Medicago truncatula: one gene and its partner. Each later gene encodes a partner of the first gene's protein in a complex. Links are inferred from orthologs where the notes say so. Each region holds a gene or a part of one and is shown in the gene's direction. Other genes may lie near its edges. The genes, in order: rho guanine nucleotide exchange factor 8 and rac-like GTP-binding protein RAC13.

Region 1 (15,867 bases):
TTATCAACTACTCCCTCATCACTTTCATTTTTTCCTTCATCACCCTCAACTCATTCACCTCTCTTCTTCTTGCTCTTTTTCTACTTCTCAACTCTATTAATATACTAGTTTAATTACTTGCAAGACCATCATTAGTTATGTTAGACAATTCAATTGAGAGAAGATGCCCAATATGTGTCTCTAGGATCGTGATAGATGTTTCGTTATTCTTGTTGGAAGCTTCTTGACTTTTGGCCAAGACTTTAGATCTTGTCATGCGACACTTTCATGAACATGAGGGAGAATTTCTTTCATGTTAGACTCTTGTTGATTACCTTGATTAGGCATTACACCATGATCTTCCTTCCAATGGAAGTTAGGATGGCTCACTTACCCATGATTGTAATTGTTAATAGGGTCAATGGAACTTGGTTTAAAATGATGACAAGTGATTATGATTTCCTGAATTTCTCGATATCTTGTTTGGTAACACTAGTTTCTTATTCAATTGAAATTCCCTAAAAAAAAAACAATCAATTGAAATATCAGGTCTATGTTCATAGCATATAAAATACAGTGTGTTAAATTTTAAGAGATAAAATTGGTACTTTTATCTTTTTATTGGCCATCTTTTCCGTTTGAAACGGTTGTGGTCACTAGCCAAAAATAAAAGGGTGTCAATGAAAATGAGAAGCATGCAACGAAATGCAGGAAATTAAAATAGAAGGATGTGTTAAACACTACCATCCATTCTCATATCGTGAATCGAGAATTAATTCATTTGTTATATTTCAGTATTAAACACGACAATTCATTCTCTTATCATGAAAATGTGAAATTTAAACACGACAACTCATTCTGTTATCATGAAAATCTAAAATTTTTGTTTTATTTTGCTTCAGTTTTTTAAATGAGAGACTAGTTTGTCCCCTAAAAAATCTTTTTATTCCCCAGTTGGCACTTAATTGACATTGTTAACTTAACGCCACATAGTTAAGCTAATTGTACACGTCATATGTAGGTTCAATGATAAAAATAAAAATTCAGAGACTAAATTGTATCGGTTTTATATTATAAGAGACTAAATATGATCTTTTTATTTGTTGAGGATTAATTTGGCCCCTATAGAATTTCACAGGGACCAAAATGGTTCTTCACTTTTATTATTATTATTACTAGTGTTTAGAATGGCATTATGTGCCCGTTTGTCCAATTTTCTTCTTATTATGCACTAATGCATGTATATTATGAACAAATGATTTTTATGAAATTTTGATTAAAATTAATTTGATTTTGATTAAAATTATAGATATAGATAATATATATTTTACACTTTCATATTGTAACAGACTATACTTATTTTTTTTAATGATATCGAACAATATAGCGAATATAATATCTTTAAAAAAATGTAACAAATCTTAAAAAAAATAATATAACAAATATAATATAAATCTTTATCTTGTTGAATGACATCAACAAAATAACTTTCGATGAAATTTGTTTAAGTATAATTGGAAGGAGAAAAAGCCGCATATTTTTTATTTTTTTATATTAGGACTTTGAAAGTAACAAAAAAAAATTAGGGTTTTGGAATTCAATTCAATCTCTTACTTATAAATGTTAACCCGTCTCGCTATACTTAACTTAATTTTAACCTAATTTTTCCCTCCACACTTTTGCATTTAATGTTTATCTAAAGTAAAATAAAATGATGTTCCTAATTAGATGCTATTTTTTTTGGAAATGAATAACCGTTAACCTGTCTCGCTATATCTCTCTTCTCTTTTACTTATCTTCTTATTCCTAAACAAAGTTTTGTTGCCCTAATTTTAACTTAATATTTTAGCAACTTTTCCCTCCTTCAAAACCTAACCATATTTCCTAATTCCCCTCCTCAAACCCTAGCCATGATTTCCTAACTTAACTCCTCCTAAAACCTATCTAATTGATTTTCATAAACCATATCTCCTAACTCCCCTCCTCCAAACCCTCACCAATATATTTTAATTCTTTCTCCTAAACCGAAATCTCTTTTTAAAACCATACTTTTCTCTTAAACCGAAATTTCTACCTATCTAATTGATTTCCATAAACCATATTTCCTAACTCCCCTCCTCCAAACCCTCACCAATATATTTTAATCCTTTCTCCTAAACCGAAATCTCTTTTTAAAACCATACCTTTCTCTTAAACCGAAATTTCTTAATCAACATGGCTTCCATACCTTTCAATCTTTTGTAGGTCCGTTGGTGAAAAATCCTCTTTCCGATCTTGACAAAGCAATCAACAAGCTGAGACTGAAATACAGATCATATATCGTTGAATATGACATTGATGTTGTATGTGTTTTTTGTGAAATATACCTATTCTTAATTATTTGCATTCTATTTTATCAACGTTTGTGATGTTTTTGTTTGTTATTTTTTTAGGGTGCAGTATACTTGCCAAACATGTTTGGCGGTGATTTCGGAGATCAAATTGGGCGCTATGCAATATTGACTGATCCTAAGTCCAACAAGTTTGAAGTATTGATCGACAGAGTAAACGGAGCATTTTTTCTCACAAAGGGATGAAAAGCGATTCGTGACTTTTACGAAATCTCTTTCGTGACAGTTTGATATACAGTTGACTGATAGGTTTCACAAGAGTATCCCTTACCCGATTTTTGATCCCCCTATGCATTTCCTTCTTGACAAGATGAATTTGCAAGCAACTTTCGATGACTATCTCCCCCCAATAACATCTCTTCTCGCTTATCGTCACAATATCACTGACATGGTTCTTGATTTATAAAAAAAATTAACTGAGTATGATGTTACTAAAGGTTGCATGGTATGATACACTTTTCGTGTCCACCTTAACTTCTTTTATTCCTTTTCCGTTTAGTTGATATAAGTTACATGGATTTCTAATTTTGCAGATTCTACTTTACACCAGCAATGTTCCGCAGATGCTTGATACACTCAAGACAACTGTGAATATTATCGACGATTGCGGTAACTTATGGGTGTGTGAGCTAACTTTTGAAACTTTTCCTTATGAACACTTCAAGATAGGACGGCGTTGGAATAGGTTTGTGGAAGCTCGCAGGCTCCGTGAAGGTGTGAAGATCAGAGGGGGTGCTCCGATGGTTGGGTCACATGATACCATTTACCTTGATGTTATTTACAATTAGTCCATGTTTAGATAAATTGTGCAACACCTTTCCACTTTGAACTTTAAGTTTTAGTTTCTTAGAGTTTTGGAAGTATCTATTTTTTTGTCTTTGAATTTAGCAAATGTCCCTTGAATTTCATAAATAATTTAGCCTTGCTTGCTTTGGTTTTTGATTTATATATTTGTGTTTGTGCTCCTCAAACTATATTTAGTAGCATTGTTGTGTTATTGAAGCATTTTAGTAGCATAGCTTTTAGTAACATTATTAGTAACAATTACTATCTTTTGGTGACACTTTTAGTAACATTATTACTAACAATTACTAATCCTAATCTCTAAAATATGTTTTGGGTGGAATCAAACTAAAATCCTAATCCTAATTTCTCTCATTCAAGTAACTAAGAAATTTCATCCACATCTCTAAAGTAACTTTTTGGTGGAAACAAACTAAAATCCTTATTTATCTCATTCAAATAATTACGGGATTTCATCCACATCTCTAAAATATGTTTTGGGTGGAAACAAACTAAAAATCCTAATTTCTCTCATTCAAGTAACTACTAAAGATTTCATCCACATGTCTAAAATATTTTTAGGTGGAAACAAACTAAAATCTTAATCCTAATTTCTCTCATTCAAGTAACCAATAGATTTCATCCACATATCTAAAGTAACTTTTTGGTGGAAACAAACTAAAATCCTTATTTCTCTCATTCAAATAAGTAAGAGATTTCATCCACATCTCTAAGATATGTTTTGGGTGGAAACAAACTAAAAATTCTAATTCCTCTCATTTAAGTAACTACTACATTTCACCCGAGTCAACTATCCTAATAATTTGTTCTGCGCCCCTAAACCCTATTTACAAGTCAATTCTTAAGTCAAACACACTGCCCCATCAAAAATATTAATTTCATATTATTTGTATTTATCTTTATCCTAAAATGTTGGGCATTTCCTAAATTTATTCCACTTCAAGTGCATCCATTTGTTCCGCGCCCTCCCTATTTACATTCCAATTCTTAAGTAAAAAAAATGCCTCATCAAAAATATTAATTTCATTTTATTCATATTAATCTTTATCCTAAAATGTTTGGCATTTCCTAATTTTGTTCCACTATTTTGTGCTTATCGTGATAAGTAATACTCTTTATTGCTCAACCATCATATCTTACTCACACGTATTGTTCGAGGGGTGGTTTAAAGATATTGATTAATGACGAGGACGGCAATTATACCGATGTTGCATCAAATGTGGTCTACAAAGAAGTTTTCCGTAATGTGTAGGACTTTTTTGTGTACTATTCATTTTCTTACTTATTGAAACTATTTGCATGTCAACAAACTTCAGTTTCCCTTTTAAAATTATATGTTATGTTAAAGTAACATAAACTGCGTCTTAGAATTATGGAACAATAACAAAGTCTATCGTAATTGACATTATGCTTTGATTCACGACAATTTTTACATTCAAGCGCACTACATTGTTTTATTTTTACAGTGAATATTTACTTCTTAAAATGAACCGTGTGTTAGCATGGGTCAATGGTCTAGTAAATGTTAACCCGTCTCCTTATACTTAACCTAATTTTTCCCTCCACACTTTTGCATTTAATGTTTATCTAAAGTAAAATAAAATTATGTTCCTAATTAGATGCTATTTTTTTAGAAAAGAATAACCGTTAACCCATCTCGCTATATCTCTTACTTATCTTACTTATAAATGGTAACACGTCCCGCTATACTTTAACCTAAGTAAGAGATTATGTTAATTATACTTAACCTAACTATTTTGTTACCGTCAAATATTACCATCCATATGACCCGTGCTTTAGCACACAGGTCGATGGTCTAGTTAAATTGCGTACTTTGGTTGTTCAGAGATTAGGGTTTTGGAGTTCAACATGTTAATCAATGCTTCCTCCAGAATGAATCTCTCCAATGGCTTGAGGCTTCCTTCATCTTCCAGAATGAATTTCTCCAACGGCGTGAGGCTTCGCTCATCATCTCATCCCTGCAAATCCACACATGATGTAGGAGTATTCTATAGGTCATTGGATTATGGACTTTCCAGAGTTATCGAAGGACATAAACCGGTGCTACCAATTCGATGCCTTGGACAAACCGATGGAGTCTCTGATGCCGACTTTTATGAACACTTCGAAACTTGGTGCAAGAAATATGGAAAAACATACTCTTCAGAGGAACATAAACGCTATAGGTTCAAACTGTTCAAGGAGAACTATCCCATTAAGCCTCCTCACAATAACTACCTTTCTCTACAAATGCTCAATGAAAATTCTAATGAAGAAGATCACCCAAATAACTCCTCTCATCCCCTCACTATCGAGGAAGCCATTCAGAAATATGGATATGGCCTCTGTCCTTACGAGTACGACTTCCTCCCGGCTCCTCAACCCGGCACCATGTATCTCTATAACAATGGAAACCCTTTAATTCCATTAGATTCTGATTTGGCAAAATATTTACAGATTTACCAGTTTTTCGAACGCATTGAGATGGATGGTGACAACTTGAATTCTTGGAAAATGAAGGTAACTGAAGAATCCATGAGCAAAGGAAAGAACGTACTGAATTTCCCAAAGAAAATTTCAAAGAGGTTTTTGATCGACAATCCTCCTTACATGAATGTCATTGATCAGGAGTTCGGTGTACATTTTCCGTGCGAGGTGAAGAGTTCTGGTGGAGATGTTAATGAGAAATTTCTTTGTGAAGGATGGGATGATTTTCTTAGAGCGAAACGAGTTAAGGAGGGTGATACTCTGATCTTCCCCATGTCAAAGAATGGAGGGATGATGTTGGTGCAAAAAAATTCAACTTAACACCATGGTTTGATGAAGAAAGCTTTGAGGATTAGGTGACGGAATTAAAACATGTTTAAGTTCTAATTTGCTGTTTTTTAATGTCTTGGAAGTTTTAAGTGACAATGAAGTCTTATGTAAAAATAAATAAATGGTGTACTTTAGATTATATTATAATTTTTTTTTACCTTTTCAATAATTCAATCTTTATGGTTTACAATAGTTTTTGCATATTTGAATGGTATGCAGTTCAAATTTTGTGGTTCAAATTGAACCATCATGTAATATGTTTGGATTGCTATTTTTCACATACTATTTATCGATGACACAGGCACGAGTGGTGTTCATGACGTGATCGTGAACTCTTATCTGCATAACTAGAGATTAAAAATGCAAATGTCTTGTCAAATTCTTCAGGACCATATATGCACCTGTATAGCATTGCATTGTTTATTATTCTAGACTCAATGATATAAATGTTATTGCCTGTCATGATTGGTGATCTTCCAATGCATCACTTTGATTTGCATTCATCACTAGATAAGATTCTTTTTAATCCTTATTGGAAATTATTTTAGGCTATTGGCATTCATCAATTCTGAAATTTGATTGACTCGGATATTAGCTACCATGTAGTTGTATTGATCAAACTCAAAACAAGGTTGCTCCGTTGGATCCTACTAAAATATTCAGAGAAAAAACCTGACATGAATTTTTTTGGTCCAATGGCATGTGGATGTGGATCAGTTTGCAAACGACGCAATGCTCGTAGGATTGAGGATTGGATTTGGTGACTTGGTAACATACTGAACTATGAAATGAGTTGATACGTTCGCTTGAGGCCTTACATACTGAACTACGTAATTTGGACTTAAAATAGAGAAGCCCTCGACTCTCACGTAGAATCACACAATACTCGGTAAGATCTTCTGAACCAGTACTAATAAAATCAACAAACAGTTTGGCATCTGAGTTGCAATGACAAACGCCTCTCCCAGCTTAATTTCTAGTAAGGTATAAATAAGACCATGTAGTCGAGCCTGAAATAAAGCTTCTGGTTGCATCTCTCGCACACAGGTTTGCTGATGTTACATTATTACAGCGAAAATATCCCGCATCAGTATTGATTCTCCCGGTGCTATTTTTAGTGAACATAAGAAAAAGCAAAGCACAAAGTCTAATACTAATACAATAAGAATGCAACTCTGCTACATCAGGTAGCAGGTCTGAAACTTCGAAATTCGACCTCCAAACGCCATGTTCTTTATTAATTGGTTGCAGAGTGAGCATTTCTTGACTTCATAGTTGACTTCTTGACTTAAACAATAATGTGTAACAATCTTTTTTTTTCTTTTCCCATGAACTAAGTGTTGAAGTGTTTAATAGAAATGTGCAGCAACTAATTGTTTCGAACAATAAGAGAATATATTGAGACTTTTACATATAATCCAAACATGACATTGACATTAATTTGAGAAAATTGAACCATTGAATGTAAGCACATATCGCTGTTGTATCAATGTTGGACACCGGCATACGTCGTATATTGACGCATGTTGAAAACCAAACACGCCTTCAACCGGAAGTGTCGGTGCCAAATAGATTATGCATCAATTCAGTTCTCAAATAGTTTGTTTTAGGAAGCCTCTCAAATGCTTTTGAAGTTTTTATGAGATACGTATGTTGTTAGAAAAATTCGAAGAAAAATCATAATGAGATGTTAATTAAACTTCAACACACTTCATTGGAGCATAACCAAGTCTTGATTTCTTCATATCATACAAAATATACAACAATTCTGTTGTTAATAGTTTCCACTTATTGAAAGTGCAGAGTGACCTATGAAGCAAGGGTACAGACACGGACACAACACGGTCAATGACACGCCGACACTGCTAATAATTTGAAAAAATCACATAATTAAATGTAATTATATGTGTCGGTGTCGGACACGACACGTGTCTGACACCGAAATACGCCTAATCCAAAGAGTGTTTGTGCTTCATAGGTGCAGACCAAGGCTAGGAATCACGAAAATAGACAAACAAACAACATCACCATATTCAATCTGAATTAAGTAATTCTCTAAAAGAAAATCCCAAAAAGTACCATCTGAAAACAAAATTCCAAATCCAGGTAATTCCATTTCTTAAATTCCACTCACATTATAACATGGCTTTGAAGGTGCAAAACTTTCAAAACTTTCTTAAATTCCCTTTAATTTTCTTCATGAATGCTTCCTTAATGATCTCATAACTAGGTTCAGCAAAATAAGTTAAAGATGTACGTACCAAAATCAATTATTGTACCACCAACACCTTTTGACAAATTCAAAGTTTCCCACCTAATGTTACTAGCAAAACAACTGCACTTAAAGCACTGTGCATAAGCTTGAACTATATTCTTGAACTGTCATTGGTATAAAATATAATATAACTGTTAATAGGCTATGTACCAAAAATCCTATGTATTTTTGCCAACTTGGATCTTTATTTTTTTTTTGTCTAAGTTAGCAAACTCGTATATATAAAGCTTAGAGCTTAACATTTTAATCTTGGTAAAATGGTCAAACCACCTTCCCCAATTATTTTTTAAGGATTGGAATAAAGCATTTCTCACATGGATTGGAATAAAGCATGTTCCCTTCTAATTATAGTGATCTCATTTTCTGGCTATCCGGAAATTAATCCATATTTTATATGAAATGAACTAAAGAAAGTTTAACCATTAAAATGGTAGTTGTGCATATTCAATTAGATGCCAATTTTTTCATCCACTAACTAATAACTTAATTGTTCTTTTTTCTTTTTCCAATCCGTTTTAAAATTTTGTACAAAGGGATGGTAGAAAAATAAGAGATAATAATTACTACTATAGTTAGAAATATGCATAATTTTCTTTGTCATTTATGGTTAGTAATTTCATGTATTAACCTTCTCATCCACTCATTCATAAAACAAACTCAACAAATTTCTTTCTATCATGAAACCAAACCTAACCATTTTACATGCAAACAAAATTTCATTAATCTAACATATCATCTTAGAATTTTTTTTGTAACATTCTTTAACATCATTAGATTGAAGGAGGGTTATCCCTTTTCATAATTACCCTTCTTTTGTCTTCTTTATCTAATTGATCAAATACTAATTTCAACAAGAAGAAAGAACTCCTCTAAGAAAAAACAAGAAGAAAACACAACAAAAATTGCAAAGGTCAACAAATTCTACATCAAGAGATTCAATAGCCAAATTGTTTTGAACCTTTGTTTTTTTTTTTTTTAATAAAAAAAACAAAGGTAGAACATTAAATAAGGTCTAATTAACAATGGTTAGGGCTTTTAATCACCAATTCAGCATGCAGAAATCAAGGTCTTTTCATTTTAGAAAAATGTTTGAGATCCCTGGGAAACATATTCAAGGTTTATTTGATAAGGATCATGATGAAGGAAGTGATCATAGTGATCATAAAGTTCACTCAAAAAGCTTTGAATCAGCAAGATATACCAGTGATATTCCATTGGAAACTCAGCCAATAGGAGTTTCTCTCAATATTAATAATGATCATATTCAAGAAGCTGTAGCTAGAATGCCTCCTAAGCCACCACCAACAGGTATAATTTTTCTCTCTACATTTTAAGATCATAAGATTTGTTATTGATTTATAAAAAGAAAAATATAGTTTTGATATTATTTAATTTAGAGATTAATTTTTAGAAAAATCGAGTCAATTTGTGTTGTTAGCCGGAATTAAAATCATTTTTTTAAAATATATATTATCTATGGAAAATGACTTTCGAGATAAGCTACTCAAAATAATAATTTCTCATTTGAAGCAATTTTTGTTTTTATCATTTAAAAAAATGTAACGAACGGATGAAAACTTTTAAAAGTAATTATTTATTTTTTAAAATTTGATTTTTTTGTGTGTTCATGAGGGAAAAAACATAATTAAGTTGCTGAATATTCTTTTTTTAATGGTTTTGATTCAGAATCTGACTTGATGAAGGAAAGATTTGCTAAGCTGCTTCTAGGAGAAGACATGTCAGGTGCAGGAAATGGTGTTTCTTCAGCATTGGCTTTGTCAAATGCCATAACAAACCTTGCAGGTATATACTTTTTTACCCTCAAATCTTTATGGTAGAAAATGAAATGGTTTTGTAAATATTTTCCAAAAGTGGAAGAATTTTCTAAATTATGTGTCACATGACATGTGGTTTATAGGATTTAATTCGTAAATATTTTACACCGTCAACAAATCGTAATTGTCAAATCTTTTAAAATGTTAAACTTTAATCGTAACTACGTAGATTAATCATATGATAAGTAAGACTTTTTGTCAAGTGTAACTTTTTTACACTAACAATGCATCAAAATTAAACTCTATTAAAATCAAACAATAATTTTTTTAATGAAAGGGAACAACAACATTGGTGATTTATAAAATTCATGATTTCATGTAGCATCTGTTTTTGGAGAACAATCAAAGTTGGAGCCAATGTCTCAAGAAAGGAAGACTAGGTGGAGAAAAGAAATTGAATGGCTTCTTTCTGTGACTGATCATATTGTTGAATTTGCTCCATCACAACAGTTAGCTAAGGATGGATCAACCATGGAGGTAAACACTCAGCTTGAAAATTATTTAATTGATGTATATCGTGGATCCGGCTCCCCTGCAATCAGGAATTCTCCGCATTCACACAATTGGGACAATGTGGGCGTTCAATCATGATCGGACGGTTTAGATTTAACCTCGCTATTTTGAATTAATAAAAAAAAAAATCAAATATGCATTTTTTTACCCTCTGATCTTGATGAACGACTACTGATGTCCCAACTGCATGAATGCGGAGAATCCCTAACTGCGTGAAATCCGAATATCATCAAGAGTCTCCTAGAGAACAATTATGATGTATCTTAAATGCTTAAAATAATGCTCTATTTTTAGCGTTGCAAATTTATATGCATAAGTATTTTTCCCACGACATTGGCTATATTATTGTGACACATAATAACATATTATGAATTATGGCATTATGTAGATCATGACAACTCGGCAAAGAAGCGATCTGCTCATGAACATTCCAGCCTTGCGCAAGCTTGATGCAATGCTCCTTGTAAGTAACTACATTTTTGCCCTATTTGGATATGCAACTTAATTTAACACTTATGGCATAAGCGCTTATGCCATTATATAACTTCAAATAAGTGAATCCAAACATACTTTTTTCTTAATTACTATTAGAATTTTGGACTAACTTTATGGCAATGTAATTATAGGACATTTTGGACAACTTTAGAGATCAAAATGAATTCTGGTATGTCTCAAAAAGTGATGAGGAAGCTGAAGGTAACACTGTCACTCAAAGAAAGAGTGACAAATGGTGGCTACCAATTGTTAAAGTTCCTCCAACAGGGTTATCAGATGTAGCTGTGAAATGGATACAGTTCGAGAAAGACAATGTTAACCAAGTACTTAAAGCAGCCATGGCAATAAATGCTCAAGTACTATCAGAGATGGAGATACCTGACAACTACATCGAATCTCTCCCTAAGGTAATATAATTAAGGGTCGGTTTAGATTGATTTATTTGCGCTTGTAATATAAGCACTTGTGAGACCGTTTGAGAGAGCTTATAAAAAAACGCTTTATGATCTCACGGTATGGTATAGAGATAATGCTGAAATCTTTATGTAACTAAGTTTTTATTTTCTTTCATGTCTTTGTCAGAATGGTAGAGAAAGCCTTGGTGAGTCAATCTATAAGTGCATTACTGTGGAATACTTTGATCCGGGACAATTCCTCTCAACAATGGACATGACCACCGAACATAAAGTTCTTGACCTCAAGAATAGGATTGAAGCTTCTATTGTAATATGGAAAAGGAAGATGAATAAAGATGGAAAATCTTCATGGAGTTCAGCAATAAGCATGGAGAAGAGAGAACTCTTTGAAGAGAGAGCAGAAACAATATTGTTGATGATCAAACAAGAGTTTCCAGGACTTCCACAGTCTTCACTTGATATCAGCAAAATCCAATACAACAAGGTGATAACAACGTTACACTCTTATCTGAATTATTGTTCGACTCACTTTTATCTGAATTTATCCAAACACCGATAACTTTACATTAAACTCACTTCTTACGGAAATTAACTTTATGAAATCAAATTTCGCTACAACAAAATCAAGCATAGACTAATATTCATGTTGGTTATGGCTCATAGTTTACTGATAGGTGGGGCGGTCGCTCTTGATTTCCCTTTGGATGGTAGTATTGAATCATGAGTTATAATATCTAACCCTAAGTTTGAATTATAGAAAATCACTGCAACGACTCTATAGTCGGAGACATAGGCACAACTAGTCGAACTTCGTGATCAAATCTTGTTTTTTTTCTTTGGTTGTATTTTCTCGTATCTACTTTCTTTTGAACCAAGTTTGCTATTCTAGCATGTACTGATGAAATTGACTGCTTCCAAAATGATCACAGGATGTGGGACAAGCCATTCTAGAGAGCTATTCAAGAGTAATAGAAAGCTTGGCTTATACAGTTTTATCAAGGATTGATGATGTTTTATATGTGGATTCAATGACAAAGAATCCATCGTTGGCGGCATCCAGTCGGAGATTCTCATTGGATTCTTTGCCAATGTCTGATCAAACATCTCCAAACTCTGAGGATAGTGGGATAGGAAGGATGAGTTCTTCAGACACACCACCATCAATGACTCTCTCAGATTTCATGGGATGGACAAAAGGAGATTTGAAAAGGACTAATTCTACAAGTGACTTAGAAGACTTGAAAGAGAAAGATGAAAAAGTTTTGAATAAGCTTGGAACACCAAAGAAAAATTATTACTTGGACAAGCTTGAATATTTGAATGCTATAAGAAGTCCTATCGCGCGACATTAATATCGGTAACGAAAAAAGGGAAGATTATAAAAGTTCAATGCAGATGTAAACAAACACAAAGATTAAGACCTTGGTTATGCAGTAGTAGAATCTCTTGTGTGTTTTTCTTCTCAGCATAACCAGCTTGTACATTATGTAAAGTCTCTTAGGTTATTGTGTAATTTCTGTACTTGTAAATTCTTTTATTTCTTCAAAATAGTGGAAGGTTCATAGTACTTCTACTAATGTTACTGTTAAAATGGTCAAAAGACTTTTGAATAGGAGTTTGATTAACACTACAATTCTTTACTTTGGTAAAAATCTCTTTGAAAAGTACTTTTGCAAGCTTGATTTTGTTTAGTTCAAAAGTTGCAAGTTCAACGGTTTATGTTTTTATACATCGTTATAATCATCATCATATTTCCTACTAAAACTACAAAAACAACTACTAGTTTGAAAGTGCTTCAAAATACAAATATTTTATTAATCATATTTGATTCTTGAATCATGTAATTAACACTAAACTTCCACATGAAAATGATAAGAAATTATGTTCTCCATTTATTCAATGTTTTCGTTTCGAGCGCTTAATGAGATATAAGATGTCGCTTCCATGCAAGGATCTTCTATGACGCGGCGTAACCTTTGGAGTACCCTACAATAAATAATTAAGCCATTACAGTTACAAATCCATGACTAAAAGAGAAATCAAATTCTTTATGCAGCATGAATCAGGAGAGTGAGACATTTCAGAAGAAAACTCACATGGAAATCAAATGCAGGATTCGAAACTTTTGCTAACACTGATAAACCGTCACGAACAGGCATCACTAGCATAGTTTTAATTAGGATGGAAAGAAATATATGTTAGAGATGCAACTAAAAAAAATGGTTATGTAGAAGAACATAAGATAACATTATATTTTCATAAGAACATGATATGTTACCAAAGGCTAAATTGTTATGCTTGCTAACTGTTGCAGTTGCTGGCTTCAAATTCTTAGTTGTACATGGATTCTGAGTGTACATGTAAAGTGGCAAATCCCCCTGTATATGTTTATCTTCTTTTTTTAAAGGAACTTCACTTTTAGAATTACTGCATCAAATAAAATATATGTATTTAGCATGTCATATCTAGCATGGTTTTTCTTGGTTGTGAAAATTAAAAAAACTTAATTACCTTGTTGGTCCCTTAATTTACTCTAAAAAGTGTTAATTTGGTCTCTAAAGTTAAATCTGTTAGTAAATTAGTTATTTTCGTCCAATTCGCTGGTCAAAGTCCATGTCACATATTATGTGTAATTACACATAATATGTCACATCAGCATAAGATGCACCCTTTATGGGAATTTGGATGAAAATGTCTAACTTTTACTAATATGGTTAACTTAAAGGGATTAAATTGACAATTTTTAAAGTTAAAGGACCAAATTGAATTTAAAAATTAAGTTAAAAGATAAAAAAGTAATTAAACCATTAAAATATATATTGTGAAACATTGCTCATAATCAGATTCATGAGAGTATTGAGGAACCAAGAGGTACCTTAATTTGTCACTCTTTGATCTCTCAAGGATAGGAGCTGATCATGAAAAACAGCATTGAATTAGTAACATTACATTGCAATTGATTTGCAAAAAAATAAATGTTGTATGCATCAAAATAATCAAAGGTGACATGGAATATTACGTGATGATAAATATCTGGTATGTAATCTTGGCAATTTCTCCCTCCATTGCATATTTGATAGGGCAACCTTATCAGCATATTGGTCACATGTGAAAAGTCTCTGTCAAAAAGCATCATCTTTAGTAACAGTTGTTAATTTGCTATAACTATGTTAATATTTTTTTCTCCCATTTGAAACTTAAATTTTATGAAAATGATGTTACTAAAGAGGTAATAATCAAGTTTGTGCTTGAAATTGTAGGGTTGTATCGACCTAATCCCCTTCATTATTAATATTCTAAAATACTAGTACCCTTATCAATATTTTAAAATAATCATCGAAATATTAATCTAATCTATGATCGTTCAATCAAGATAGAACAATGTATATTATTCAAGCTCGGTATTTTAAATTGTTATAAAATCATATAAGTTTCAGATTGTCTGGTCTTGATTGAACGATCATCAATATCACAACACGAATGTGGGATCCTTGGTGTTACCTTGTGTCGGACACCGAATATACCTTCAAACTGATACATGATACTACATGTGGATTAATGATATAACATATAATTGTGCATATAAGTGAATTTATGCAAGTAATAGCACTAACTTGTGTGAGGCACTGAATTCGTATCTCAGCATCAGAAAATGAATTTTTATGAGAAATAAGACCTTCAAGATTAGAGGAAACATTCCCAAGATGATCAACTACAGTAACCATAGCTCTGCATATGTATTCTTTTGTGTCATCCATCACACTGAAAAATGTACAAATTTCAATATGTCACGGGTCAATATGTCCAACTAACAAACAAACTTACTTTTACACTAAAGTTAGAAAGTGTACTAAAAAAGAAGTACACTAAAGTTATAATAGCATGATGATTTGGATTCCAAGAAAATTACGTGACATTGTAAACTCACAACTATGATCATCAAGTTTCAACAATATATGAAACTTGTTTCTTACAAATCGCAATTAGACCTAACAGAACCCTATCAGGTGGTCTAATGATTCTTAATTGATTCAGTGGATCTTACGGATGCTCGGCTACCGTCTTAAAAATCATAAAAGATAAAACATTATAGTTGCACTTAACATAACCCTACAAAACTGACTTGTAAGGTGAAGATTGTCCCCACTTATAAACACATATTTAGACTATCTTTTATTTGATGTGAGACTCTTTAACATTGTTATAGGCTAAATTATATTTTTGGTCCTCTAACTATTTAATTGGTATCGGATTGGTCCTCTAACTAAAAATTGATTTATTTCGGTCCTATAAGTTTCTCACCGTTTCTACATTTAGTCCTTTCTGTTAGTTTTATTCAAATA
Region 2 (15,662 bases), on another chromosome or scaffold:
AGCTACTATCTTTATCATCATTCTCACACGAATTTTACCTATCCATTTACTATTTTTCTTTTTAACATAACAAATAATTGAGCAACTCTTTTTTGGCCTCCTCAATCTCTCTTAGACACCCAAAATTTTTTGAGAGACAACTCTTGGAGGATAATTTTTTTAATTATAACATCTCCAATAGATAACTCCCTGAGGATATTTTTTAGCCAAAAGAGATATTGAGAAGACTAAAATTTTTTTTTATAAATAATTGGGTGAAGGTCAATAAACCTACACTTATAATACATTTTTTTAAGCCCTAATATTTTAAAGCCCCGATCCGTAGAGCTGTTTACCCCTTCAAGAACACCCATGATCATTGTCACTAGTATTAGGATAATCCCAAATCATACAATTTTAAATACAGAAGAAATCTTCAACCATTTTCTTAACTAGCTAAAGCAATCTTCAACTTGAAATTTCAATCTCCATATCCATTGCATCAAACCACTTAAAATAGTGACAACATTTTTCATATTGACTTTTGTAGTTGATACATCCCCAATTAAAATTTAGATATGTAACATCACTGACATGGTTATTCCGGAGATTTGAATATAGTTATATGTGTATGCGCAGACATTTGTATTTTGCCGTTTTATCTATTAACATGGATGCTGTGAGTCTGTTCACAAATTCATCCTTTTTGTTTTTAGCAAATTTGCATTATATCGATGTACTTTATCAATTTAAATGAATAAATATCATTTATTTTTGTCAAAAAAAAAAGACTGTATCAAAAACAAAAACGGTTTGCAAAATATTATTTTTTACAAATATCCAATCAGATTTACTAAAATATATTATTTCCTAATTAAAACGTAATTGAAAATAAATGTGCAATTTTTATAGTCTCATGACACAAAATTATATTCAGGAGAATCTTTTAAATAAGGAACAATAAATAATCAATTGATTAGTTCATAATAAAAAAAAACTTTATTTTTTTGACAAGAATAAAAAAAAACTTTATTATTATTTTTTAAAATAAAAAGACTTTATTTTTTGTAAAAACATTCTTTACTTTTTTAAATATATATATTTTTGGATATATGAAACCCTAGATCTGAAAAGCCCTAATCCTAATTTTTCCATTTCCTTGACAATTAAAGGAGGAAAACCTAGTTGAAAAGAAATAAAAAGGGTTGAAAACTAGCGTTGTTGGCGGCACCGGCAACACCGTAAGAAAAAGAGTGCCATCACAAAAATGATAAACAAAACAGCATGTGCTCCTTGTAGACACCAAAAGAAAAAGTGCATGAAAGATTGCTTCCTTGCTCCTTATTATCCAACGAAGAAGAAACAAGAATACGACCTTGTTCACAAAGTTTTTGGTTACAAAAAGTTGGAAAAAATGCTCAGAAACCTTGATGAACAAGGAAGAAAAAAAGCCATCGAGTCTTTTGATTGGGAAGCAAAGATGTGGAAACAAGACCCAATCAATGGTCCACTTGGTGCATTCACTGAAGCTCAGAATGAAATAGCACGACTACAAAACCTACTCCAACAACAGCAAGACCAAACTGTTCCATCTTCTGACCCCAAATTTATGGGTCTTGCCCAAAATTCATTCTCTTACAATAGTGATGCTGTACCTGTTTCAAGCAATGGAAATTGGTCTTCTTTTGAGGCCCCTTTTGTGGCTAACAACAATGTTGTACATAATCCCTATTTTGAATATCCTTATGGAGGAAATAGCTTTGGAAGTATAGGTGCTTTGCAAAACGAGGAAACAAATTTATTGAACTGTGTTGTTGCTGGTCCTAATGTTTGGCAACCTTCACAACCCAATTATTTGCAAAGTCTTGCAAGTAGTTCTGGGACTAAAGTGACTGTGGATCATAATATTATTACCAATCAACATATGGGAATGCAAGGAGAAGGTCAGCAGCATTCTAAGTATTATTCTTTTGGAAACTGTAAGGAATTCTTTTCACTGCTTTTGTCTCTTGTTGGAATTGATATTTGTGCACCATTTTCTTTGGCATCTTTTTTGTTGAATATAAAGTGTTGACATATGTGTTTTGCTTATCTTATCATCTCAATTTTGTATGCAATATACATTTTTTTAACTAGGATGTGCATATTGTTAGGTTATTTACATATGTCATCGTGAGCTCAGCTCAGTTGGTAGGGACAATGCATAATTATATGCAAGGTTCAAACCCCGACCACCACAAAAAAAAGGGTTATTTACGTATAAATATACCGTGCTTAGGTTAAAGTTGCGAGGGAATTTTTAGGTCCATAATATTAGTTAGGTAGCAAGTGCATCTTTGAACTCACTATTATACTATATCATTTGTACGCACTGTTGTAATTGACTCAAAATGGATGATTGAAGTTTGACAAGAATTGTGACACGATTTGGTGAGATCATGGTGTAATATGGCTCAAGGTTTTGGCTCGACTTTTTTCGTGGCACCAAAGGTGTAGATCGTGATACGATTTAGTGGATAAGTAAATTCATATTGTGTACGAACTTACAAACCATGGCATGATTGAAGGAAATCGTGGCACAATTTTCTCGGGACATGTGCAGTTGGGAACTTTAGGGTAGAGTGTATTTAGTGAGAGTTTTTTCTTGAGTTGAGAAACATTTGTAAGCATCTTGGGTAGTGAGATCTCATTAGAGGAAGGATCTAAAAGTTTTCTTTAGTGTTTTCTCTTAGGATTCATTGTGAGTGTGAGTGACTTGAAAAATGGATAGAAATTATGATTTGTTCTTTGTGAGCTATTAAGCTAATTTCTTGTAACCTCTTTGTACCCTTATCATAGTGGATCAGAGAGCTGCTATCTCCTTCATAGTAGGTCATTTTGGACCGAACTGGATAAACAATGTATGCGTGTTGTTTTCTTTCCCTTTATTTCTTATCTTTGTTGCTTTGAATATGCTTTTGGTGGCTTCACACTTAATTAGATCTAGGTATATTTGTTGTTGTTGTTGTTGTTGCTGCTGCTGCTGCTGCTGCTACTTGAGGTTACTTTGCTCATCTATTACTACTTCCATATTGCTCCGTACATCTAAATTTTATTGGTGTGATTATTTGTTCGAATTCACAACACACACAATTAATTTTAACATGTACTTTTTAATAGATTTTAGGAATGATAATTGAATTGAGGCTCGTTGAGTACTCGCAAAAAATAGCCATGAAAACCAACATTATTTTATAAGAGCAATCAACCAATGAGTGTGTGAGGGTCTGGGTACATATACCTTAGTACCTTCCTCGCGTTATGGAGTTGAGTGATAAGCAGTTTAAGGGTTCGATCTCTATTTTTAGTATATTTTTTTTCCTTGTGAATCGGACATCCTATGCACCCAACTGAAAAGACAAATCTCTCGATTCAGATAGGACCACAATTGATGACAAAACTCTCTCTCAAGAGATTTAACACTATTGTATTTTCAGGATTGAATTCAAACCTATGGCCTTTGACCAAACTCAAAGAAATGTCTTACCATCTAATTCAAAGACTCCTGGGCCTACTCCTAGTATATTGCTAACAATATTAACGTTGGTGGTTTTAAAAAAAAAATTTGTCGGTCTAATTACTAAATTTTCCTTCTTGTTTCTATTTATATCATTGGTTGACAGTAATATGTACAATTAATGATTGATTTTAAATGAAAGATTTTTCTATCATGTGCAAACTTGCATAAAATAAGAAGGCAAAAGTGATAAGTTTATGTTGAAACTTATACACTTTATATTAAATACATATATAACTTTGTAATGAATAATTGTTGTTTTAATTTTTTTTTTAACCATTTTTAGTTGTCTTAACCTATGTAATATTGCATAGTAACGCAAGATTTCTTGTTGTTAGGCAAAAGAACGCAACATTAAATGGATCTATGACTTATTTTGTGTGTGATTAACTATGACTTATTCTAGCAAAGAAAGCTTGTGAATTTATTATTTCAATGTCTACTCATTGAACATGTTCACAACAACAACAAAAAAATGACAGCTTCACCGGGGTAAATCCCTCAAAATACGTGTTTTCCGATGAATTTTAGAGGACCATAGTGTGTCCGTAGCACAAATCATCGTAAATTTGTTCCGAGGAACACAATGTGCCCGCAAAATGTTTTGAAAACTGAATTAGTTAAATAGCTTGGTTTGTAATGTTTAATGATTCATTTTGAACAAATTTAAGTGGTTTCTTTTTTAGTTCAGTTACAATACTATTTCGTTATTTTTTTTTTAAAGAAGACTAGTTTGTTATTTACTGATTTATTATTGTTTGTTAAAGTGCGAGTGACACGTATGTGTAACAAACTTATGTATCTATATGGTATGAGTGTAGTATTAAAGTTGTTGTCCATGTGGATACAAGTATTTTTATTTTTTTTTTAAATTGTGGCTAGGGACAGGGGCGGAACCACCCCCCAGCTAGCCAGGCTCAGCTCCAACTTTCTTTGTAACAAGTCCAGATTAGGTAGAAGTTTTAGCTTCTCTTACGGATTTACCCAAACTCTATATAATTTTTTGCCCAAACTCTATATAATTCGTGACTCTGCCACTGGTTAGGGAGACAAGCAATATATAGTACCCTCTCCAACTATAGTCTATATTCCTAAATATAATTTGGCTACAACATAGATTAACTTAAAATTAGGATCCATTCTGTCCCAATCAGTTTTACTGTTAAATCCATTTATCTTTATATGAATGAATTTAAACTTAAATTGTTTTAGAATGAATATTTAATTTGAAGCCTGAGAAAAATAAAGAAACAAGGACCCGAGTTGGTCCCTAAAAAGAATAAACTACTTTTGATATTTAGAAATTTAAACCATAATCACATACTTTGATTATGATTTGCACCCTTAAAAAAGGGGTATTCTTCAAGGTGGTAGGGTTGCAGATTGTGTGTGGTGCCTCAAGACTTTAGAGACGAGGAGGATTATTTGTTTTGTACTTGTCAATTTGCCAGGTCAGTTTGGGACCAAATTTTTAAGTGGGTTTGAACGAGAGTGATCTTGCCGGAAAACATCATTTCTCTTTTTGATTATTTTTTCTCTTCCTCTTCGAAATGTTAATCGCGGGAAAGACCTAATGCTAACATGACATACTACTGTATGAAAGATCTGGGAGGCGAGAAATGGTGTTATTTTCTCCGAAAATAATCCAAGGGTAGAAGAATTAGTTGATGCTATTAAGGTTACCTGTGGAAGATGACTTCTTGCTAGGAAGAAAGGGGATCCTTCTCTGTCTTATGAGTGGTTTTCAAACTCTATAGATTGTCTTTTGTTTTAGGTGTTTGTCATTGTAGTTTGGTGGGTCAAGTATCCCTTATACTTCTCCCTATTTGTACTTCTCTCATTTTTCAATAATATTCATTTTGCCGTTCAAGAAAAAAATACATTGGTCCATGTGGTTAACTTGCATAGAATGACCAAATTTTTTATGCTGAGTTGCAGGGACGACCCCAAGCGTAAGCTTGTGCGTGCCATGGCCTCACTAAGGATGAAATTATGCATACAGAGAGGATAAAATTTGACAAAGGTCCGCATTATAACATCAAGTTTAATAATATTTAAAAAACTAAAAGTCTCCCTTCAAATAAATAAATAAAAGGTCTACCTCTCATATTTGTATTATTCGAAAGATGAATGTTTAAAATATTATTTGACTACTTATGTATTTATTGATATAAATTTATATATGCATTGAGTGTAATACTCACAATATTTGGGTTCGTCGTTGGCTCGTTGCTGAGTTGTATCATTAAATTTAATGAATCCGATTTAAATTTCAATCAATAGAATGTAGTATATTTAGAAATGTATGTTTGAGAATATGTTACTAACACTACCAATCTCAGTCTCATGTTGATCCATTCAAAATTAGGTTCAACTAAAAAACTAGGCGCCTTATGCATATGATGGGATATGAGATATTATGAAAAATGCTAGATGTCGCTCTTATATTTATATTCCTTTCTGTCTTAAATTTCATTAGTTACTCCTAATTTATTAGATGAGTTATTGTGTGCATGTGAAATTACACTTGTTTGTGAGGTTTCACAATAATTTTGTTGTTTACAAAGTTTGGTGCGACTTACCTGACAAATTTTACTCAATTTCTTAATTAGATTGACTTGATGATTTTGTACAACGGAGCTGCTGGTTCATGTGTAAGCATTTCTCCACACCTATGTATGGTGTTTTTGTTAGTTTTATTTTTCCCCACATGCTATCTATGTCTAACTCACTGTTTCATTTCATGCATTGATCAAATTAGACTTTGATTTCATTTTTATTTTATTTTTGTGTAGACCTTTTGAACAATGGAGTGAAACAGACAACAGATGAATGATTGATACATGAGAGATAGTTTTTTTTGTATACCTTAGAAAAGAAATTACATCCAATAACTCATTGGAAGTTTTGCAAATTTACATTTTCTACAAACCTATGTGATGTTTAGGAGAGAAATAGTTTTTTTTGTAGCAAGTTTCTTTCTAGTTATTTTAGATTTTAATTTTTTTGGAATATATATTGTTGCTACTATTTTTTACGGCAGCAACTTAAGCATTGATATAGTGTCTAAACTACTTTTATGGTTGCTAAGTTTAATGCGATGATTTTATTCATTTTATCGGAACCTTGACACAGACATGTGTAAATAGTTGAAGAAATTCTATTACGGTAAATGTGAAATGAGTTAGAAGTTCTACATTGTTTAAAAAAAATAGAGGCTGAACATTTTATAAGTGGGAGGACCCACGAACTCATTAGTGTCCGGTTCATTTGTGTGGTTGCTTTTAATTCAATGTGGATGATCCGCCATGCTTCCCTCTATGACCCAACAATGGTATTAAAGTCGACGATTCCACGAATGATGTTCAAGTGACGTGTTCTGTTGAAAGAGAACCAATGGCAGTGCAAGTAAGTGTGTGTGGATGAAAAAGCTTACACTTGAAGGGGAGTATAGTGAATGGAAATCACTCGTACTTGAGAGTGGAGATTGTTGTGGCAAGTGTGAGGTGAGTAAGAATTCACATATTTCTTAAAAAAGTAGAGGTTGAACAATTTACAAGTGAAATGTCCATAAATCTATTATCTTAAAATTTTGGATCAAGATGTGATGTCCAACTCGCTGTTGTGGTTCTCGATTAAATATAAATGATCCCTAACTTCCCCCTATGGTCCAGCATTTTTGATATACTTGTTATATGCCCCAAAAATGTGAAGTGTTGTAGTGAGTTGGATACACGGGAACAATGGAGTCAAGAATCAGAGTGCTTTCAGCTCTCATAACTTTATGATGGTGCACCCATCAATCAATTTTTAGTAATTTTAACATTTGTAATATGTCTTCTTTGTTAAAAAGGTTTGTACATGATAAAAAAACTGAGGTGGCATTGCTTTCCTTCCCTCCATTGCTCTCTTCCACCCATCCTCCGAATATTAACTTTTGATCCTCAAATTTTGTTAACAACGAAAATTGTCATGATAACATTCGTAAAATTATTACTTTTTTTTTTGTCTATATATGGCTTCATGGTAAAATTTTGGCTCGCTTTGCCAGTGAAATTTAACCAAATAATAATTTTGCTTAGGATTCAAATTCAACCTTAACAAAAGCTTCTTAGCCAATTGGTTACCATATTATTTTCCTATGGTTAGAGAGTGTACGACTGAACTGAAATTTCGATAAAATAAATAAATGTAATCAAATCATTATGGGTTTGTAAGTTGCAACGACTGAACTGAAATTTAAATAAAATAAATAAATCAATGCATTAAGAGAATACACAGCATGCAAAAATACATTGCTTAGTATAATGTTTTCCATTGAAGTTTTTGTGTTACAATAAGGTGGAGTAAAAAGCATTAACTTTTTTTGGACCACTCCAATAATAGTGGACCCATGAAGGATAAAGAAACCAATGTAAGCTAGCTCAATCCGTTTAACCATAACCACAAACATATTATAATTAGAAACAAAGACATACCCAACAAACATGTCACAACAAACTTATTTGACTTACTTTACATCATATCATACCTCAAAAAATAATTCCTTAATTTCATTATAATGTATTAGCTAATTAAGCAAAAAATTCTTTGCTTTTCATAATTCATTACCTCCCTTCTCCCACACTTAACCAACTAACTAACACCACCACTATACCTACCTACTTTGTTACCATATCTACTCTTGTCCTTACACTTTAAGAAAAGTAACACTTTTTTATGTACATGATTATAAATTTTGATCAATTTCATGAGCCACAACAACTAAAAGTAGGTAATATAGACTTACTCCTAAGTAGTTAAAGGCTTGCTTAGTCACCCCCTCCTTTAACTTCCATCATAAATATTGTTTCAATTGTTTCTTTGCAACTATAGTTTATGATCTTAAGTTAAGAAAAACAAGAAGAATGAGTACTGCTAGGTTTATCAAGTGTGTAACAGTAGGGGATGGTGCTGTTGGAAAAACTTGCATGCTTATATCCTATACAAGCAATACCTTTCCCACTGTATGTTTCTAAATAGTTCAATTTACATGTAAAAAAATATAGTGATGAATCTAATATATTTTTTTTTCTTTTGATTTTTCTATGATAGGATTATGTTCCAACTGTGTTTGACAATTTCAGTGCTAATGTAGTGGTGGATGGTAGTACAGTTAATCTTGGTTTATGGGATACTGCAGGTTAGTCTAAAGCTTTATTTTTTACTTTTAATATAAATCAATATCAAGTTTTGATGAGGTGAAATTTTGTGTGGATTACTTACAGGACAAGAAGATTACAATAGATTAAGGCCATTGAGTTACAGAGGAGCTGATGTGTTTTTGTTGTGTTTTTCTCTCATTAGTAAAGCTAGTTATGAGAACATTTCCAAAAAGGTTTTTTCCTCTATACATTACCTTATAAGTTAGATTTAGATCTCTATTATTTTTTGGTACTGTAATAACATTTTTAGTTTATTAACAGTGGATATCTGAGCTGAGACATTATGCTCCAAATGTGCCTATTGTGCTGGTGGGAACAAAATTAGGTAAGCTATTCCATCTAAGTAACATTTCAACCACCATTATATTATAAGTTGACAGTAATGAAAATTTCATTTGATTATAGCTTACAGAACATTCAAAATGTCTGATTATGTTTAAATCCTACGTATGCACAGATTTGCGAGACGACAAGCAATTTTTTATCGATCATCCTGGAGCGACACAAATAACAACTGCTAAGGCATGCCGTCGATAAATAAATTATTCATAAAAATTTCTATATTTGAAACCAATATTATTTTGAATGTACAATGGATTTAATCAATGATTGTGGTGAACAGGGTGAAGAATTAAAGAAAATGATTGGAGCAGTTAGTTACATTGAGTGCAGCTCTAAAACACAGCAGGTAAAATTACAGCACTTCTTTTTTGGATTTAACTTTTTTACTGTTTCATATTTTGAAGCAAAAGATGCTACTTAATTCAACTATTATATTCCAATTGTGAAGTATTTTTTTAAGTATTTGTTCTAATTCTTTTTGTTTACAGAATGTGAAGGTAGTTTTTGATGCTGCAATAAAGATTGCATTGAGGCCACCTAAGCCAAAGAAGAAACCACGCAAGACAAGGACATGTACATTCCTCTAATTTGGGGGGTGTGAAAATAATATATAACCACTCCATTTCATTTTCAGATTTATATAGCAGAATTGAAACCATAAGCTTCAATGTTTTGTTTGTGATTTTATAGTATATAGAATGAAAAAAAAGAGTCTTAAGGGTTATGGACTATCTTAGTGAAGAATTATTGAATTAATTATTTTTCTTTTTGTGTCTAGTTGCTCTTGTTTATGTAGTTACTCATATTTGAAGTTAAATTGGGAATTCCTTTTGTATTTCATGATATTCTGATTCCACTTTTAACTTTAAGTTGTTTCTTTCACTTTGGATTGTTCAAATTTTAAACTTAATTAAAGGAACTTTTTGATGACTAATCACTGTGAAAAAGTTAAATTTGAGCGACATTAGCTTGTGGCATTAAACCAACATAAAACTGAATTTCAGAAAATCAAAGTGATTGAATATAAGTGGTTAATGCGTTTATCGGAATGCTGCCTCAATTTTGATGGAAAAAAAATGAACTGGAAATTTGCTCTTTAGGCATTCATGATTTGCTCTTAAGCACCATAAACCGACGAAAATACTCTCAGTAGCAATAATTAACGATTGTTTTGGAGACTTTTTAAAACGGTTGGAACAATTGAAGAAGGAATTTAACGGATTTAAAAAATGTTTAAAGGCTGTTAATTGTCATTTTGTGGTGAACAACACTTAACGGTCGTTCAACCAACGATAATTGTTAAATTAAGCAATTAGAGGGTGACTCATGAGCAGCTTTCAATGAACTGACTAATCGAACGTAGAAGGTGGGTTGGGCTAATCAAATTCAAAGCCTAAACTATTTAAAGTTCAATCCAATCTCTAAAAGAAAATTATTCTTCCTACCCCTCAAATTGTACTCTTACCCCTATAAAGCACATGAAATCCTAATTTTACCCTAAACATGTTAAATATTTTAAAGAAAGGTGGTTATTCATTTGGACTTGGATCCTCTAAGGGTCACATAGCTGTTGCACCGTGTAGCCGTTTGAGGAGATCATTTTTGTATCCATTAGTCAAGACTATAGTTGTTGTGGATGAAATACTTTCCACCCCTTCCAATTTCTTTGCTAGGGATAAAGGCATCAAATTGATGTTCGACCCCAAATCACTTTAGGCTTCATGAATAAGAATCTTACCAATCATGCAGGGTATAACAAAACATCGTCTTTTTATTGGCGTGTCACCTTCCTTCTTCTCTTCACTCTCTACCCCACTTCGTTCAAGCTCTTCCTTGGATCCTCTTGTTTCGAAAAGAAAGTTTTCATAAGCTAAACAAATCCTTGTAATGGACCCAAAATGTCAGAGAATTTGAATTTGTTGTCGCTAATGGACAACTTCTTCGTGAACTTCCCCACATCATCTTTGTTCTGGACTTCTTCTTTAACTCCCGCCTTCATTATATTGGGACTTTCACCTTCCAAGCTAATAACATATGTCCTCACTTCCAACCACCACCATCAACACCCTGCCCTAAAGAAAAAATCTAAGCAACTAGCACCAAATGATTTCCAGACAAATCAAAAGGTCGTCTAAACCTATTACATAAAGGATCACCCTCTAACCACAAATCAATCCAAAACCTCTTTGAATCATCATCACCCACCACTCACAACCCACATCAAATTATCACCATACCAATTACAAACTCCATACCCAAACCTCTTTGAATACCAACTATATCTTTCTATTAAGTTGACCCCTTCTTCCTTTACTCATACCTAGCCGCAAGAACCTGATATCACAAACACCATTTATTCACAAGCACCTTCGAACACCATTTACCGAAAAGGTCCAAATTGAACTCCTAAATTCTACGAACCCCCAAATCTCCTTTCTCCTAATCCAAACAAATTGTGTCCCATTTAATCACATGGATTTTTCTAACATCCTCACATCAACTCCTCTCTCTTCACTGGTTTCCAAACAATTCCTTCTGCTCATTATTATTATTATTTAATCAAACTAACATGTTTGTGTGTATGAAAGAACCAAATCAATGACTTTATAAATTCAAAATTTCAATTGAAACAAATTAAATAGATTTGATATTTTTTTTTTCATGTTTGGGGTGTCATATAAGGAATAAAACCAAACAAATTCATTTTCAAAATTGAACCGTTGAGATCAAAACGAACAATTATATTTGATTATAATGTACTTTATGTTATATTAGTAGTTATTTCTTAGAAAAAAATATTGTATTTCTTTTAATAATTAAATATAGGGTTAATTAAGTTTTTGATCCCTATAAATATATGCGATTTTGTTTTTAGTCCCTATAAAAATAAATCACACTTTTTAGTCCCTACAAAATTTTCTGTTAGTGTTTTTAGTCCCTGTTAAATTAAAATTTAGTTAATTATGCTTAAACTTCTAAATTTTTGAAAGATTTGTTACATACATGTTCATAACATCGTAAGACACTCTTTTATAATTTTTTTTTAAATTTTTTAACATGTAATGAATTAAATATGAATTTTTCTAAAAGCCGAAATTTTAAGATTATATTAATAAAAATTTGGACCTAATAATAAAATTTTAAGTTACTTTTTTGCGGAGGAACTTTATATAATATTCTAAGTAAGTATGTGAAAAATATGTTACAAATTTAAAAGTTTAAGCACAATTAAGCAAATTTTAATTTTACAAGGACTAAAAGTATGTGTTGTTCCCTATTAAATTGAAATTTGTTTAATTATACTTAAAATTTTATATTTTTAAATGATTTTTAACAAACATGTTAAGAAATTATAATAATCTCTTTTATAAAAAATTAGAATTTTTTAACATGTAATGAATTAAATTTAATTTTTTTAAAACGCCAAAAATTCAAGATAAAACTAACGAAAATTTGGACCTAAAAATAAAATTTTGAGCTAATTTATTGTGGCAAAACATTTTATAACGTTTTAAACAAGTATGTAAAAAATCATTATAAAATTTAAAATTTTAAGCATAATTAAACAAATTTTAATTTAATAGGGACTAAAAACACTAACGGAAAATGTTATAGGGACTAAAAAGTGTGATTTATTTTTATAGGGACTAAAAACAAAACTGCATATATTTATAGGGACCAAAAACTTAATTAACCCTTAAATATAAATTTTTCTATTGTAGTTTATGTAATTGTATTGGTTTATAAAATAAGTGTGTGAAATTATTTTTTTACATTTTATAAAGTAAACTCCTTATTTTTTTTAAATCTGATTGAACTGAATCGAAGAATCTAAACTAGCCCACAAAAATTGACACCAAAGAGAATCGATAGACCTTGAGGAGGAGCACCCTCTAAGATCTCAAACCAACACGGTCACCAGTCTAATCCAAATGGGTTTAACGAATAAAGAGTTGGTATATAATTTTTGTGTGAAATATATATGACAAAATATCAAGAAAATGAGAGGAGCAGCTATAGGGACTTGGATTCCATGAATGAATTCATATAATTTAAAAGTGACTGCAAGAGTAATTTTATCCCTAAAAAATGTGAAAAAAAACCTAAATATCAAAGTTTTATTTTATCGTTAACTATTTGATCTTTTTTAATGGTTTAACCATATCTGTTTGATTGTGTGAATTTAAGATTCCAATCAAGTACGGATTCCTAAATTCACACATTTAAGCAATATAGGCAATTAAAAAATAACATAGTTATTATAGAAGTATCGTAATACTCCATAGTTTGTACAATATAATGAACATCTTTCAGTGAATTTTATAATTGGTGAACATTGCATGAGAGAACTCCAAAACCAAAGCCTAGATGGAACCCAAAGCTTGAGCAAGTAGTGTTGTAGGCTAAATATGGTTTGGAGGCAATTCCTTAATAGATTACCCACTAAGTATAATCTAAGCCTTAGAGGTGTGAGGTTGAATTCATCTTTATACTGTGTTGGCGGTTGCGGTAGGCTTGAGACTGTGAACCATATCCTTTTTAATCGTGCTGTTTTATGGTCGATTTGGAGTGAGTCGTTGAAATGGCTCGGTGTTTTGGCTGTTTTTGTTGAAGGAGGATTTGAGCGTCTCATTTTGTTCAAAGGTCTAGTTGCAGGAGGTAAAACCGTTTGTGAGAGGTTGGGAGTGATATTGGTCTCCATTATCTCTTCCATTTGGAATGCTAGGAATGCAAAGGTATTTAAACAGGCTGCTATTAAATGGGAAAAGGGAGCAGATGAATATAAAGTTCTATCTTGAAGAATTATTCAATCAAGATCGACAAGTTTTGTTTTTGGATCTGCGCTCTTCTGTTTCTGTGGAGCATTCGTGTTGGTTCTGTTTTGGTGTCTATTTGATGGCCGCAGGGACTTTCTATCGTGGGAGCTCGAGTTTCAACAAATTCGGTGCATACATACATCAGCTATCACAAGAAGTTAGGAACTATTTTCACAAATTTGTGTCATCCGTTCTAGTCCCTGTGTTGCTGTCTTGAGTTGGTTGCTGTTTTGAATTGATAGGAGGCTTCTGGTTCTGGAGTTGGATTAATCAGCTGCAAGGAATGCGGGATTTTGAACGTGGATCTGGATTGGAGAATTTGCCAAATTTGCTTTGGTTTGATGTATGTTCTATCTGTCATTGAGTTTAGAAGTTTCAGGAAGGGTACTGTGCCATTAGTTTCATCTTATAAAGGTTTACATATGCAAGGCTTTTGGTATTGGTGTAATTAACATTGTACATGTATTCTGATCCTGTTAAAACTTGTGCTAGGATAAGTGTTATAAATAAATTTTTGCTGTTTAAAAAAAAAAAAACAAGCGATGTTGAACCCGCGGAGAATAAGGTTAAAAAGATACATGAACAACTACAAGGGTTTGGACAAGTTGGTGCTGTTAATGTTTCTTACTGGTTTCAAAACCGTAACTCCAGAAGCAAACAAAAGAAAAGAATCTTGTACAACAAGAAACTAAAAACACAACAAAACTCTACTCCGTGTAACTCTCTTCCACAAATCCTCACACCACCACCCAACTCATTTTCCTCTGATCATCAAAAAGCCTCCATTGGATTCTCCAATATTAATGATGTGATGGTGTTGTTGCATGTTTCACCTGCAGGTCTGTGAACCAAAACCACCAAGGTCTCAAGGCAACACCACCAAGTCAATTTAAGTGGGTTAAAAATGATATTTTTACTGTTCATAAGTCCTAACTCAACTGAAAAAATAAATATCGAAATTGTTATGTCGAACGTCGTGAACAGGACTCTAACTCTGACTCCTACATTTGCGTTTGTAAGATTCAAATGGCTATTTTAATTTCATCCGTCTAAAAAAAAGATACCTTTTCTAGTAAAAAAAAAATACTTTTATAATGCAAATAACCTTTTACTTATAATCTTTTTATCGATAAAAAAGATCGTTAATTAATTTTTTATTTTAATTTTTTGTCAAATAACCTAGTGGTTAGAACTCCGACCCCAAATGTAATATATATATGGGATTTGCTAGAACACACCCACTAGTTTTTATGTGGGAGTGTTTTAGCAAGTTATAACTAAAAAGTTAACAAATACAGCTTAAGGTGTATGTTGCTATAACACACCTTCTAACAAAAACAAGTGGGTGTGTTCTAGCAAATCATATAGGCATTTGCTAGGATACACCCACTTAGTTTTTAGAAGGAGTATTTTAGCAATTAAATAACTAAAAAGTGGTTAAATACACCTTAAGGTGTAACTCTGCTAAAACACTCCCACGTAAAAACTAGTGGGTGTGTTCTAGTAAATATATATATATATATATATAATACAATATTTGTATCAACTTAGTCAGATTCATAAAACAACTCGTTACTTAATTTTTGAAATCAATTCGTTACTTAATTTATTAGTCAAGGAAACAAGTATATGAAAACTCCTTAAAAACTCCATAAGTATATAACTTAAGTCAAAAAGGAGAAAAAAGATATATGTATATGAATTGGTAACGGATGAAAATAAATAAGGACTCTCAATGTACCGTAAGTATTTTATAAATTTCAG

Evidence for each region.
Region 2: the proteins of rho guanine nucleotide exchange factor 8 (region 1) and rac-like GTP-binding protein RAC13 are in contact, whole or in part, in a crystal structure (PDB 2WBL), measured with the Arabidopsis thaliana proteins. The link is inferred for Medicago truncatula from reciprocal best matches to the Arabidopsis thaliana genes ROPGEF8 and RAC2. Residues at the interface, in NP_189105.1 of Arabidopsis thaliana: Lys95, Glu100, Asp101, Met102, Ser103, Lys107, Leu113, Asn117, Ala118, Thr120, Asn121, Leu122, Ala124, Ser125, Glu129, Arg143, Arg217, Asp218, Ser219, Glu220, Lys233, Trp234, Trp235, Gln265, Met269, His325, Leu328, Asp329, Gly383, Leu384; in NP_199409.1 of Arabidopsis thaliana: Phe6, Asp14, Gly15, Ala16, Val17, Pro37, Thr38, Val39, Phe40, Asp41, Asn42, Phe43, Ser44, Ala45, Asn46, Asn55, Trp59, Asp60, Ala62, Gly63, Glu65, Asp66, Tyr67, Asn68, Arg69, Leu70, Arg71, Pro72, Leu73, Arg76.

The regions. Positions count from the first base shown.
Region 1 is NC_053047.1:40,422,152-40,438,018, reverse strand, and holds rho guanine nucleotide exchange factor 8, read left to right. Parts: upstream 1-8,934; 5' UTR 8,935-9,287; coding exon 9,288-9,573; intron 9,574-9,951; coding exon 9,952-10,068; intron 10,069-10,422; coding exon 10,423-10,577; intron 10,578-11,001; coding exon 11,002-11,076; intron 11,077-11,239; coding exon 11,240-11,515; intron 11,516-11,690; coding exon 11,691-12,008; intron 12,009-12,453; coding exon 12,454-12,876; 3' UTR 12,877-13,145; downstream 13,146-15,867. Other genes in the region: uncharacterized protein, read left to right, coding at 2,680-2,760, 2,903-3,083, 5,020-5,981; probable protein ABIL5, read right to left, coding at 13,421-13,510, 13,621-13,685, 13,803-13,951, 14,400-14,436, 14,544-14,643, 15,139-15,286. UniProt on the Arabidopsis thaliana protein: Guanine-nucleotide exchange factor (GEF) that acts as an activator of Rop (Rho of plants) GTPases by promoting the exchange of GDP for GTP. Active as homodimer.
Region 2 is NC_053045.1:42,628,022-42,643,683, forward strand, and holds rac-like GTP-binding protein RAC13, read left to right. Parts: upstream 1-8,234; 5' UTR 8,235-8,442; coding exon 8,443-8,541; intron 8,542-8,629; coding exon 8,630-8,717; intron 8,718-8,802; coding exon 8,803-8,912; intron 8,913-9,000; coding exon 9,001-9,064; intron 9,065-9,196; coding exon 9,197-9,261; intron 9,262-9,361; coding exon 9,362-9,427; intron 9,428-9,569; coding exon 9,570-9,668; 3' UTR 9,669-9,926; downstream 9,927-15,662. Other genes in the region: LOB domain-containing protein 2, read left to right, coding at 1,247-2,053; WUSCHEL-related homeobox 9, read left to right, coding at 13,491-13,817, 14,141-14,334, 14,439-14,737. UniProt on the Arabidopsis thaliana protein: Inactive GDP-bound Rho GTPases reside in the cytosol, are found in a complex with Rho GDP-dissociation inhibitors (Rho GDIs), and are released from the GDI protein in order to translocate to membranes upon activation.